Linked DNA regions of Caenorhabditis elegans. The protein of the gene in region 1 interacts with the protein of each later gene in a pairwise test. Each region holds a gene or a part of one and is shown in the gene's direction. Other genes may lie near its edges.

Region 1 (7,264 bases):
CAATATAAACATTTATCAAAAAACTTATCTGCTTTCAGGTTATGAACGGATTTGTCGAGCCTGTCATAAAAACGTATAATTGTACAAAAGACCAAGCCGATACTGCGGTTTTAGTTGTTCCCATGGCTTCCAGTCTTATATTGGGTTTGTATAATTCAGTGAAAGGAAAGCTGATTAACTTCATTTTCAGGACCATTCTGCTCAATATTTTATCAACGATCAGGAGCTAGAATCAGTATTATTGCTGGCTCTTTTTTGACTGGTGGCAGTTTCGTCGTTGGTCCATTTTGTAAAAACATTTATCTTTTAATGCTTGCAACATTTGGAATGGGTAAAAGCTTTGGAGAAAAAAAAAAGATATTCTAATGTTCAATTGTTTAGGAATTGGGTGTGGGTTGATGAGAAATTCGATTATTTCCATTCAATGTGAATATTTCAAAAAAAAGCGAAACACTGTTATGGCTGCCATCTCAATCGGTCCAGGACTGGGAATATTCATTCTTCCTAGAACATTGAAGTTTATAATGGTTAAGGTACAGTCTAGACAATATTATAACAAAGTATAACATTTTTTGCAGTATAACAGCTGGGGTCCAGCCTGGTGGTTTTTATCCCTTTTCTACATTGTATCTGCAATTATGGGTCTCTTTATCACCAAGCCGCCATCAGAACAAACAAGCACTTTTTCATTTGGATCTGCTTTTAAAGTACACTTTCTTCAGTTTTTTAATTAATTTAATAATGCTACGTTTTTTTAGGTATGCAAGAAATTAGAGTTCGACTTGCACTTAATTGCATGCTTCTTCGCATCATCAGTGATGTTCATTTACATTGCCAACATTTTGATATTGATGGAGTCAGAAAATATAGAAGAGTAAGTTATTATTTTCAACTGTATAATACATAAAAACCTGACTTTCAGTAAGGAAATTCTCTATGGATATCAGGGATTGACCAGTATAGCTGGAAAGTTTGTTCTAACATTTGTAATGAGCTTGAATAAAGTAAGTTGAGTTTGATTTCAAATTGTAAGTAATTCAGTAGTTTTTATTTCAAAAATGTGATATACCGTATTTTCTCTATCAGTCTTGCATCTCTACGTACCAAGCCAATATCGTTTTTGCATGAGGAACTATGAGATTTAAAAAATAGTTCGCTCTTTTTTTTTTCGATCATTCCATTTTCTAGACGCAGAGCTATAAGTCACATACATCTTATTTTACCATTTTTTTCTAGGTACACAATGGAATAATTATGATTTTGAGTTACGTGATAGCTCAGTTATCACTTTCTGCTGCAGCTTTCTGCTACAAATTCTGGCAATTTAGACTTCAAAATGCTTTTGCTGGCATTGGAATTGGTAACTAACAACGTTTTTTGTACTTCCATATAAAATTTCATTTCAGGACTCTACCAAGCTTGTTTAGCACCGTTTTTGGTGGCTCTCGTTGGACCTTCTCAACTTGCATATGCACTTGGCTTTACCAATTTGATCAACGGAGTATCTATTATTTCCGGCGTGTGGATTTCAGGTTTGCCGCCATCAATTTTATTATCCAAGTTTTCAAATCTAATCGGTCACAATTTTTCAGGATTTGCAAGCAAAGGAACAACTGGTGACCACGCAAGAAGTGCATTTTTCGTTTCTATTTGGCTTGGGCTTGCAGCGATAGTCATGTCAATTGCCACGTCATCTGTTCTTATGGCTAGGGAAAAACACAAGAGAAAGCCATCGATGAAACAAATGAAGCATTCATCAGAGTTAAATGCCCTAACCAACATCACTTCTGTGGAAAATTCATAAGTACATATAATTCACTTTGCCTTCTGTGCGAGTTGCTTATCTCTATTAATATTCCAGATTAAAACGTCACAAGCAACCGTATCGTATCAAGTCACTCTTATCAATCGATGATGTGAGAAAATGCGTTCAAAGTTGAAAAGTCAACGCTAAAATAGTTGTTAGAGAAGAAAATGACTATTTGTGTTTCGGTATTGGTTTTTGTCTCTTCGACTCTATTACTATGGTTCTTTTCTTATTGACGCAATATTCTCTTTCGTCTATTTCCTGATAATGTTGAAATTATAAGCATTTATTGTATTGTACAAAGTTGTAAAACAAACCTGTGATATGTGCTGGGGAAAAAGGAATTATAGGTCCCGGAAGTGTCAAGAAGCATGAGTTAAATACTTGCAGAAGTCACAAAAACAAAATATAGTCGTCATGTGTTTTGTTATCAACAATGAGTTAATAAGACAAAGACAATGATGACAATGTCCACTCAAACTACACATCTCGTTACCTTTCTTGAGCACTTGTCTCTTTTCTCCCGCACAATTATCGATGTTTTGTCTTATTGATTCATATATTTGTCTGGTATCGCTGGTACTAGTAGCAAACCAATTGATAAGTCATAATCATGCCTGTCCCTTTTTATTCTTTATTTTTCTGTCTTTTTTAGATTGAATTGAATTTTTTTTTCTTATAACGATAGAAGTGTCTTTCTTTTTACCAGTTTTTACGCATTTATTATTAATTTTGTGTTTTTTGATCTCAAGTGGTATGCAGCCAGAATAAAATTATTGATCCATCTGTCTGGAATGGAAGGCGCAATATGATAAAGAACAATCCTAGTTACATGGAAAGTTCCACAAACTATAAAGTATTTTTGAATTCAACAATTATTTGTATTGAATAGATGTATTGAATAAGGAAACAAGTAAATAAGATTAGTTATAACGTTTCTCTAATTGCTTTGAACTTTTTGTTTTCAAAATGTCTAATCAAGAATTACATTGTAGCTCAGGAATGGGCTTCTTTTCAATTCCTGTAATTTGCTGATTAGCCGATTTTCCGGAAAACAATTACCGAAAAATTTCATTACAATACGAAAATAAAAGAAAATAGAGAACACTTTTAGTGTTGTTCTTAAATATACCAATTGAAGAACGATCTGACATGTAATCCTGACAGCGAGACTATAGTAAATATAAAGCTTAAAACGGCAAGTTCATTGATTCGTAAAAATATGCGTCAAATAACGTTTTGTATTAAACAACATTTTATGCTCAACTTTAGTCCAAATTCGTTATTCTTAAAATTAAAAAACTTACATCACAAGATTCAATTTGGGTTTGATTCAGCGTGGGCATGATCGGCATGTGAAACTGAACTATTTAATAATACTTACCGTGGTTACGCGATAAAGAGTCTGTACTCTTAACAAAAATTTGAGTTTGATTGAATTTGATATTTGATAAGCTTGTAGCGACTCTTCACCTTTTCCGCCCGCTACTCGCAAATAATGCATTTTTTCCAGGTAAACTCGTTCAAAATGTTTGGTTATGTTGTTGTTAATGAACAAAATTCAATTGTTTTTCTTGATGGGAATGAAGAATTCAAGGTATGTGGAAAATTTAAACTGATCATGTTTGAATAAAACGCACTTCAGACTATTTTTCAAAGCTTAATTCAATCTGAAATTACAAGCAGAAAATCTGACCTAGATTCTGCATCAAGTGGAGTTGGAAGTTCTACGTGTACAGAAGGTGAGTGGATAGCATTCAATTGTCAGTGCCAATATGATTTTTCAGAACAAGAATCATCGTTAGATCACTTCAAGAAGCCTAATGTTGTATTTAATTCATCTGAAATTTCACATATTCTTCTCCCCTTAATACTTCTGTACAGGTCGACGAGTGAAAAAACAAAAGATCCCATCACTGAGATGTCTTCACAATTTGGAACAATATCAATTTCAAAGTTTTATCACAATTATCTAGTGTTGGTGTTTGCCAATGAGTGAGTTTTCAAAAAATATTTACTCTCAAATGTTAACATTTCAGCGATCGCAAGCGAATCGAAGTCTCTCAAACAATCGAACATACAATAGCGACGTTATTTGGTCCATTAATTGCTTTTTGTCACACTGATCTCACGACCGTAAAGAAACCGAAAGAGCATCTTGCCTGTGCATTGACGCGAAAATTGTCATACAGCCCAAAATGTTAGTTTTGATTATGGTTTACACTACTAGTAGTTTATTGTGTATCAACAAAACTGAATACGCTTGTTTTGTAATTTTCTGCACTAGAAAGACGTTGGTAGCAGAATAAAGTTCAAATGTCGTTGGTCACAAAGAAAAACTAACTATTTTAAGGATTTGGTTTAGTACTTATTCGCTTTTTGCGTTAATAACGGGTTTTCTGTTTCAGCATTCATTGATATCCGACGAAAATTATTTTACTTCGACAAAATAGCCAAGTTGAAGGATACGTTTCATAAAATTTCTTCTCAATTGAACGTGTTTGTTGACAACAATAGGTAATTTTTTCTTGTGTTTATTGAATAAAAAAAACAATGTTTTTCAGATGTCTGTTACTTTCTAAGGGTGACATCATTGCTACTTACAACTCTGTTGAAGGTAACGATGACGTTTTGAAAGGGCTCAACACAAACGATCTACTAAACATTGTATCAAACACGTCGAAATGTGATGCAAACACTAAGATTGAGCAGGTTTGCATAGTTTGTACACTTTCCTTTATAACACGTTCTCTGATTCAGTTTTGGCTTCGATCAACGACAGGCCTAATTCCATATTATGTCAATGTTATCAGTGCGACAGTTTTCAAAAACATGACATTAGTCTGTCTCGTGGAATCGTCAGAAAACACATTGATCAGATACTTATATTTGTTCTCAAAACAGTTGGATCAGCTCAGAATAAGTCAAGATCTGAATAGGTTTGTTCAGAATAAAAACGTGTGAAAGCTGAGAAAATATATTTTTAGAGATTTGAAAGAAGTCCGCAAAACAATTAATGATATTCACATACTACTTCTCAGTAGAAAACCGCTTCCCGACACATACTGTGCTGCATTCATGAGAAATCCATTAAGGGCATCTTCGTTTTTCAAGGTATGTTGATTTGGAAATAGAAAAGGTCAAAATAGATAACACAGTGTAGTTGGCATTATCTCATTGAATGAATTTGTTTCTCAACAACATCATGCACCTTGATTCGTAGGTAATTGCGTGAACTGTTGCAGAATAGTTCTAAACAAGCACAATCAACAATAACAACTTTAATTTTAAAAACTGTATTTGTTATGTATAATTTAGCAAAGGGGTGGCTTTTGCCGACCTGCAATTGTACAAAATGAGACGGTTGGGCATGTTCCCCCAATATTTTTCTATAATATTTAATGATACAACATAGAAAAATATTTGCTTTATTTTAAAATAAATGTAATTTTAGTTGAGGAAATTGGAAAAATATTCAAAAATAGTCTGAATGTTGAAAATTGCTGGTGAAAATTGCCGAAAAATTGACTGCAATTTTCACCGGAAATTTTCAACATTTCGACAATTTTTGAACACTTTCTCGGTTGTTCCAAGTCAAAGAAAAATCATTTTCAAATAAAGCAAATATATTTTTATATTGTTTTATTGAGTTTTAATGGAATTATCGGCGGAACATGCCCAACCGTCTTATTTTATAGAATTGCCGGTCGGCAATGGCCGCGCACCACTGATCTAGCATTTCTTCAAACAGAAACAAGTTCCACGTTAAAACAGTGATTGGCGAAATATTGTGGTACAATAGTGTTTTAACAAAATTAATTTTATTTTGAAAACTATAGGCTTTGAAATCACTGCTGAATTAATCGAGTTGCAAGGTTTCATCTTTTCCCGTAGATGTGCAAAAAGAAAGCTTTCATTAACCATTTTTAGTCTATATGGAATCAAATCGAGACGGAGGTACTTCAAATCAACAGGCACTCAGCAACACCAACTCAGAAACCTAGATCGGAATCAAGATTTTCAATAAGTTCTTGGAGAAGTGCCCTTTCGACAATGTCACTTAGTTCGTCGGTGTTTACCAGAATAACCATGGACGACAAGGTAAATTTATTGTGGATTAGGTTCAGTTTCAAAACTTTTATTCAGACGATGACTCAAAAAATGGATATTCTACTTTCCTACGGAAAAAAGCAAATTAATTCATTGATACAAGAGCTGTGTTCTATAAGTATTGCTAATGCGAAACTATCTACACTCCCTCTATTCAATCAGTGCTTGGAAAAAACTGTAAAACCGAACTCAGTCAAAGCCGTTGATTCTTTAGGAATAGGTAATTCAATTTTTCCAACAACCTCCACACACTTTCAAAACATTTCCAGGTTCAAAAGAACAAGAGGATAAATTAGAAAAGTTTTTGAAACCATCAGAGTTTTTCTTAGAAATGTATGCTTATCGAATACAGTTTGACGATTTGAAACAAGAAATTACATACATCTCAGGTAACTTTAAAATAAAACTTTAAATTAACAACCTTTATCAAAATTGGTCCTTTTTAGATGAATACAAAGAAAATGTAAACTGGATTCGACAGCTAAAAAGTGCAAATCGATTCAGTTGTGATTATCTTCGGAACTCTGGAGAAAAGTTTATGATATTTCATGTGAGTCCATTATCAAACTATGCATTTTATCTCAAACACCAAACTTTTCAGTTCAATCTACCAAATTTGAATCAGAAATCTACCGAATGTCGTTCAAATATCAGAATGACAGCTGTTTTCCCAGAATATATGAATAAAAATCTCGCCGAAAAGCAAACGAATAAGTTGTTGGAATGCGTGTTAAAACAGTTAAAATAAATAATTTATATTTACAAGTATATTTGTTTTTATTGCTCAAAATTATGACATATTGATGATCATACTGATGGATTGAGATATGTTTGATTATCAAATAATACGAGAGCTCTTTTTACAAAAAGAGATGAGACGTTTGTGTATACTGAGAAACGAAATGCTCTTCCACAATATTCCGATTTACTTCATCAATAAGCGTTTGCTTCAATTTTAAGAATTCCTGAAAAAGTCTCAATCAGGAACGTTGCGTGAATAAACATTTTACGTCATGGTCCATATGTTTTAGTACAGTACTAAGAACATCTTTACAGCTTGAAATTGACGGACGACTTTTTCTGTTCTCATTTATGCAATCCACAATTAAGTCGTATCTAAATGTATTGATTGAAACGTGATTCGATAAAACACAATCATACATTGCTTTCGGACAGTTTTCAGGTTGAATAGGTGGATAAATTCGTCCATAGTCGCAAGGCTTCATGAATGAAAACAAGCACAACATAAGTCTTCCAAAACAATACACCTCAGACTGAAACAAACATACTTTTGGAAAAATAAACGTGAAAAACTGACCGAATAATAATAATACACTCCTTTCAAGC
Region 2 (5,432 bases), on another chromosome or scaffold:
TGATTTTGAGAACGTACGCTCCATCGGCCAAAGCAATATCCATTTCGACACCTTTGTGGAACATATTCTTAGCAGCAAGTAGTCTTGATGACGGTGGAACTGATGCTGGCATTTCAAGTTCTTCTGGGTCCAATGGTTCATACTTGAATCAAATAAAATATAAATTGACAAAATATCGGATCATAACATACCATGACACTATTCATCGAAACTAGTGGAGTCATAATTCCAGCCGGTAAAGCCATATACGATTTCTGTGGCTTCAAATTTTCCTCATCAAACGGCATTCCATCAATATCTTCTCCATCGTCCTGCTGGTCATTTTGATTCCATGTGTTCGAAACAGAAGCGTGTGGTCGTTCAGCTGAATGTTTTGGAGCTTGATCAAATCTTGATCTTCTCATGTTTGACAGTGGAGCATTAGGATGATGCGATGCAGGTCCGGATGATGGCCCATGACGAAACTCTGTAAGAACCAATTTTTAAAATTTTCAGACTAAATTTCTATTTCTCACCATCAATTTTTCTCTCAACTTCGTCAATTTGTCTTTGAATATGCTGGGAATATGTGACATGCTGTTGTTCATATCCATCAAACGTTGCCATCAGATTACTTCGAATCGACTCCCGAATTGTTCCATAAGATGATTTTTCAATTTCTCTGTCAGTGCTAACAATTTGAACTGTATTCCTGAGTTGTTTGAATACAGAATCAGCGAAATATTGTCGACCTTCCCATTCTCCTAAAAGCTTTCCTTCTAACTTGTTGCTCAACTCACTCGACGAAGAAAGTTCTATACAATATGCATACATTTTTGGAACGTATCGAGCCAGCATTTTCATTTGATTTTCTTCTTTTTTTCTTTGACTGAAATTTGGTATTTAACGACGTTTTGTTCAGTATTCTAAGCTTACCAATGAAATGCCCAATCATTGATTAAATATAGAATATGAAGTCGTAGATATTCTCCAGATGCTTCATCTTTAACTTTATTTAACAGAAAAGACAGTATTATTTCTCTCAGCTGATCGCTTGTGCAGTATTCGAAAATCCACTTTTTCGCTTGCTGAAGAAAATTTTTCGTCAAATTTCTTTATTTTTTGAAAAATTACTTACTGAAATCAAATCTTTAGAGCATTTCGGTGTAGCCATTGCATCTAAATAGGAATTGAGATCTTCCACGTTCAGATTATTCTGACTCAACATCTTCTCAATTTTCATTGTTTCAGAAGTTCGAATAGCAGATTTAAGATGTGCCTGGATAAACGTGGATACAAGATTGTATGTTTGCAAAACACACCATTAGGAGCTCGTCCATTCCATTTCTGTGAGCGTTCAAATTCTGCTCACTGTCGATAATCTTTTGACGTAACTCATCGATTTTCTTGCGCCATTCGACAATCTCTGGTGGATCCATCAGAGAAGGAATCGACTGCCGTTCTGAAAAGTCAAAAATTAATGATTTACAATCTTGAAACGTTTAAAAGATTCAAACCTGGTGGAGGGAAGTCCCTAGGGAGTGGAATATCGCCACTGCGCCATGATTGACCGTGCTGAGAGCTACTGCCACCTCTCCAGCTAGAATTTTCATTCATGTCGTCTAAAAGTTATATGTTTATATGATCAAATATTTTATCTCTTTCTTGTGACAAATAAACAATATATATATTCTGCATGGTTTTGCAGAAAATTTGCGGAGGATTTAAAAAATAAATCGAGACATGCGCCAGTGATCAAGTTTTGCGTCAGTGAACAACGTTTGCGTCAATCATTTATGTCTGCTACCCTCCTAGTCTCACACACTCTTTTTCTCTCTTTTATTTTATTTTATTTTTAATTTTAATTTTAACACTGCACGGTACAAAACATATATTTTGCTTTTTTCAGAATGGAGTCGATTGCAAATCCATTGTATTTCTTCTCCAACTTGTCATTAAACCCGCCATCCTGCTCTAATGTGGTCAGATTCATTGGTAATTGAATTTTAATTAAAAAAACGAAATAATTATGTTTTTACAGATGTCCTTGAATTCTTTTTCGTGGCGCATCCATTATCAGGACGAAAAGAAGGCGAAGAACATAATCGTGTGATGTATTTTCATCCGAAAGGCGAGCAATTAGAGAGACAGGTTTTCAATATCGTAATACTTTTTATTCTAATAACTGTATTAATTTCAGACCGAAATAACAGGATTCGCAGAAGCCGTTGTTAACTTTACAGAAAATTTCTTGAGCACCTCCCGTCGGGAAATCAGTGAAAGAATTAGTGAAAATGAAGATGGTTTCGATTTCCGAACTGTGACGACGCAGAGAACAGAGCACGTTTATATTCGTACAGAAGACGATCAATTTATTCTTGGAGTATCAATTTCTAAACAATTATCATTGGTTTCTGATTATCCTCTATTTCAACCAGCGATTAGGAGTATACTTTCCGATGCCTACAAAATGTTTCGAATGTTTTTTGGAACTTTTTCTTCTTTTATCAAGTAAGTTAAAGTCTAGTTTATAAAAATAAAAATATCTTTCAGAAATGTTCCCGACGACATTCCAAAATTCAAAGAACGCCTTGATTTTTTCTTCTCCAAGTACATCCCACTACTGAAAGTTCACAAAATGCCACTACTTGATCATCTTGGAGGCGTCGAATTTCTACGAATGTCTGGTCCTCTCTACTTGAACGTTGTTTCTTTACTTTCCGAACTTCGTGAAGAATTCCAAGTTATCGAGAAAATAATGTTCTTGTATCAAGATAAACTTCTCTACTATCAACTTTCGAAACGCGATCTTCCATCACTATTTCATTATTTGACACATAATTTGCTTCCAACAACATTGGCTCCAGAACTTGAACATTCTGGAAGAAATGCTTCAAAAGGAAGATATCTACGAGGACCAACAGATTTAACAACAGATGCTCCGTTGCTCGGTGATGAGTCACTTTCTGTAGTTCATTTGCATTCCGATCAAGGAACTGAATTTCAAGAAGAACTCATCGGATACCAGATGATCGTTTATCGATGTCTAAATGCAACAGTTTGCATGTTTGTCAGAAATTGTCCAGCAAATGGTGGATTAGAAATCAGAAGGGATTCTGGTGAGTTTTTAAAAATAGTTTTTCGAAACGAAACGTTCTTATTACGTTTTGAGAATAAATTGAAAATAAAAAAGCGATTTTCAACTCTTGCTAATCTGCTAATTTGAATTGCCGCTCTTTTGTATCTAAAATCCACCCGTAGAACCGTGCCGCGCCTCGTTTTTTTGCAATTGTACCGCAAATTTGTCTTTTTGTGTTGTTTTTTTATTCTTAATATAGAAAAATGGCATAAATGATCAAATATATTTTTTTGTATATCAAAAGAATTAAAAAATCGTATCGAACCCGAAAAAAGTACATGTTCCTGAAATTCTAAACACAAGGAAACGTTTTTAAAAATGATTTCTAAATGCTTTTGAAATAGGAAAAATATTTTTGAACATTTTTGAATTTTTCTTCATTAAAAATTAGTCAAGAAACACAAAAAAGAAGAATTCGTGTCGAAATTGAAAAAAAAAGTCGAAGTGCGGCACGGTTCTATGGGCGGAGTTTAGAGACAAAAGCGTGGTAATTCAAATAAAGGGATTAGCAAAAGTTGAATTTTCATCAAAATCAGATTTTTTCCAAATTTGGTGGATTTTTCTCATCTTTCTTATGTGATATTTCGGCACATTAAACTACTTTTAAGGTAATATCTACATTTTCCGAACTCCACCTTTAAACAAAATAAATCTTTTTCCGACTTATTTTCTTTTCCAGAATCATCTCAATCATCTCGCGCCACTCCTTCACAGAATGGTGTTGTCAGTCGTCGACTTCTTCGAAATATTGATCAGTTTTTGGAAACCGAACTTTCACAAGTAGCGAGTAAAATTGGTGACGAGTAAGTTCAAACTTACATTATATCACAATAAATTCCATTAAATTCCATTAATTTCAGAATCGGCGACGAAAAGTTCCCGGAAGCTCCAGATTTCCATTACATTTACTTCAATCCATCATCGTTATCCATGACCTCAAGCCTTTCAACATCTCCGAAGCTTCCCGTTGCCGCTTCTGGATCTAATTCAACATTAAAAGTACCACTGCCACCAGTTGATGTTAATCGTTTAGTATGTGATACAATGAGCAATTTTGTGTCGGAAACTGAAGAATTTGGTGAATGTTTCGTCAAATCTTCAAGTGATTGGTGGATTGTTATCAAAAAGGTAACAACATTCTTGGCAAAAACAAAATTCAATGTTTTTATTTTTCAGGTTAATTCTCGCCTCCTTGTCTTAATCATTCCTCCATCCAACTACACATCATCCCTTGCCGATGTCCAATCAAAAACTGCAACAATTGTTCGATCCCATTTCGAAGCCATATTTTTTAGTTGATAATATTCATATTTTCCCATGCATGTGTGCCAAAATTTTGTGATATTTGCCTATAATTCAATTCCGTTGCCTTGTACTTTTATATCTTATTCAATTTTTTCTACAGATCTATATTTATATAAAGCTTTTCAATTTTAGAACATGAGAAACATGTTGGGCTCCACATATACTGCCGGGGAATTTCGAAAATCGGATGAGTGCCCTTTGATGCTGAAAATTAGATTTAGTCAAAAGATCTGATCATGCTCCCCCTCGACCACTCCGACGGCTCCTTTGCTCTTTTTCCACACGATTTTCGACATTTTCTTCAAATTTCTTCTTTTTCTTCTCTCTTCAGCAAAAAGCTTTTCATTTTAATAATCCAATTGACTTTTGAAATTTCCCCCCCCCCCCCGCACTCTCATGACTTCTTGCCAAAAATTTATATATATATTTCTGATGTTTATATGTATATGTGTCGTCAAGGTGACAAATGCATGTACATTTTATAAGGGAGGTCTGAGAAGAGAACCACCAAGAAATAAAGTGGGTGGAGTTTCTTAAAGAGGCAAGAAGGCAATGAGATGGAGGGGCAGGTGAGCATATTGAAGGGAAAACGAATTTATTGCTCTCTCGATATTGACTCTCGGGGACCTTCATTTACCCTCTTTTTGAATGAGATTTTCTTTTGCCCAAGTGAGATTTCGTCTCGCCACGAGCGAAAGTTTTCAGCTACCGTACCCTCTAGTACTGTAAATTTTTAATTAAAAATGTCACTCAACAAATTTGTGGCCTTTCCATGAAAACACCCAAAAATCCGAGTAAGACAAGAATATAATTGATGAAATTGAGCAAAACACTCTCACAATCAGGTACATATGTACCAGGGATGCCACCAAAATTGTTTGACCAAAAAACAAAAAAAAACCTTTTTTTTTCAAAAACCCAAAAATTCAAAAACCAAACCAAAAAACAAAAAAAGAACATCTCTGTCGGTTCCTGTTACTGAAAACTTTCGCTCGTGTCCCAATGAGTT

The links.
Region 2: the proteins of glo-3 (region 1) and ccz-1 interact in a two-hybrid assay, tested with the Caenorhabditis elegans proteins (one study listed by BioGRID).

The regions. Positions count from the first base shown.
Region 1 is NC_003284.9:10,530,450-10,537,713, forward strand, and holds glo-3 (Gut granule LOss), read left to right. Parts: upstream 1-3,249; 5' UTR 3,250-3,335; coding exon 3,336-3,404; intron 3,405-3,452; coding exon 3,453-3,549; intron 3,550-3,594; coding exon 3,595-3,802; intron 3,803-3,846; coding exon 3,847-4,007; exon of another isoform or gene 4,008-4,215; coding exon 4,216-4,324; intron 4,325-4,371; coding exon 4,372-4,519; intron 4,520-4,567; coding exon 4,568-4,746; intron 4,747-4,794; coding exon 4,795-4,921; intron 4,922-5,737; coding exon 5,738-5,908; intron 5,909-5,953; coding exon 5,954-6,137; intron 6,138-6,186; coding exon 6,187-6,306; intron 6,307-6,363; coding exon 6,364-6,467; intron 6,468-6,518; coding exon 6,519-6,665; 3' UTR 6,666-6,682; downstream 6,683-7,264. Other genes in the region: slcf-1 (MFS domain-containing protein), read left to right, coding at 39-144, 191-331, 382-533, 579-707, 759-874, 923-1,004, 1,237-1,360, 1,407-1,532 and 1 more; F59F5.3 (Protein kinase domain-containing protein), read right to left, coding at 6,778-6,882, 6,928-7,033, 7,079-7,191, 7,236-7,264.
Region 2 is NC_003283.11:13,676,987-13,682,418, forward strand, and holds ccz-1 (Vacuolar fusion protein CCZ1 homolog), read left to right. Parts: upstream 1-1,888; 5' UTR 1,889-1,889; coding exon 1,890-1,974; intron 1,975-2,020; coding exon 2,021-2,130; intron 2,131-2,179; coding exon 2,180-2,490; intron 2,491-2,532; coding exon 2,533-3,098; intron 3,099-3,261; exon of another isoform or gene 3,262-3,411; intron 3,412-3,797; coding exon 3,798-3,921; intron 3,922-3,978; coding exon 3,979-4,246; intron 4,247-4,294; coding exon 4,295-4,417; 3' UTR 4,418-4,553; downstream 4,554-5,432. Other genes in the region: tag-65 (CID domain-containing protein), read right to left, coding at 18-142, 192-466, 516-868, 916-1,067, 1,118-1,258, 1,302-1,441, 1,497-1,596.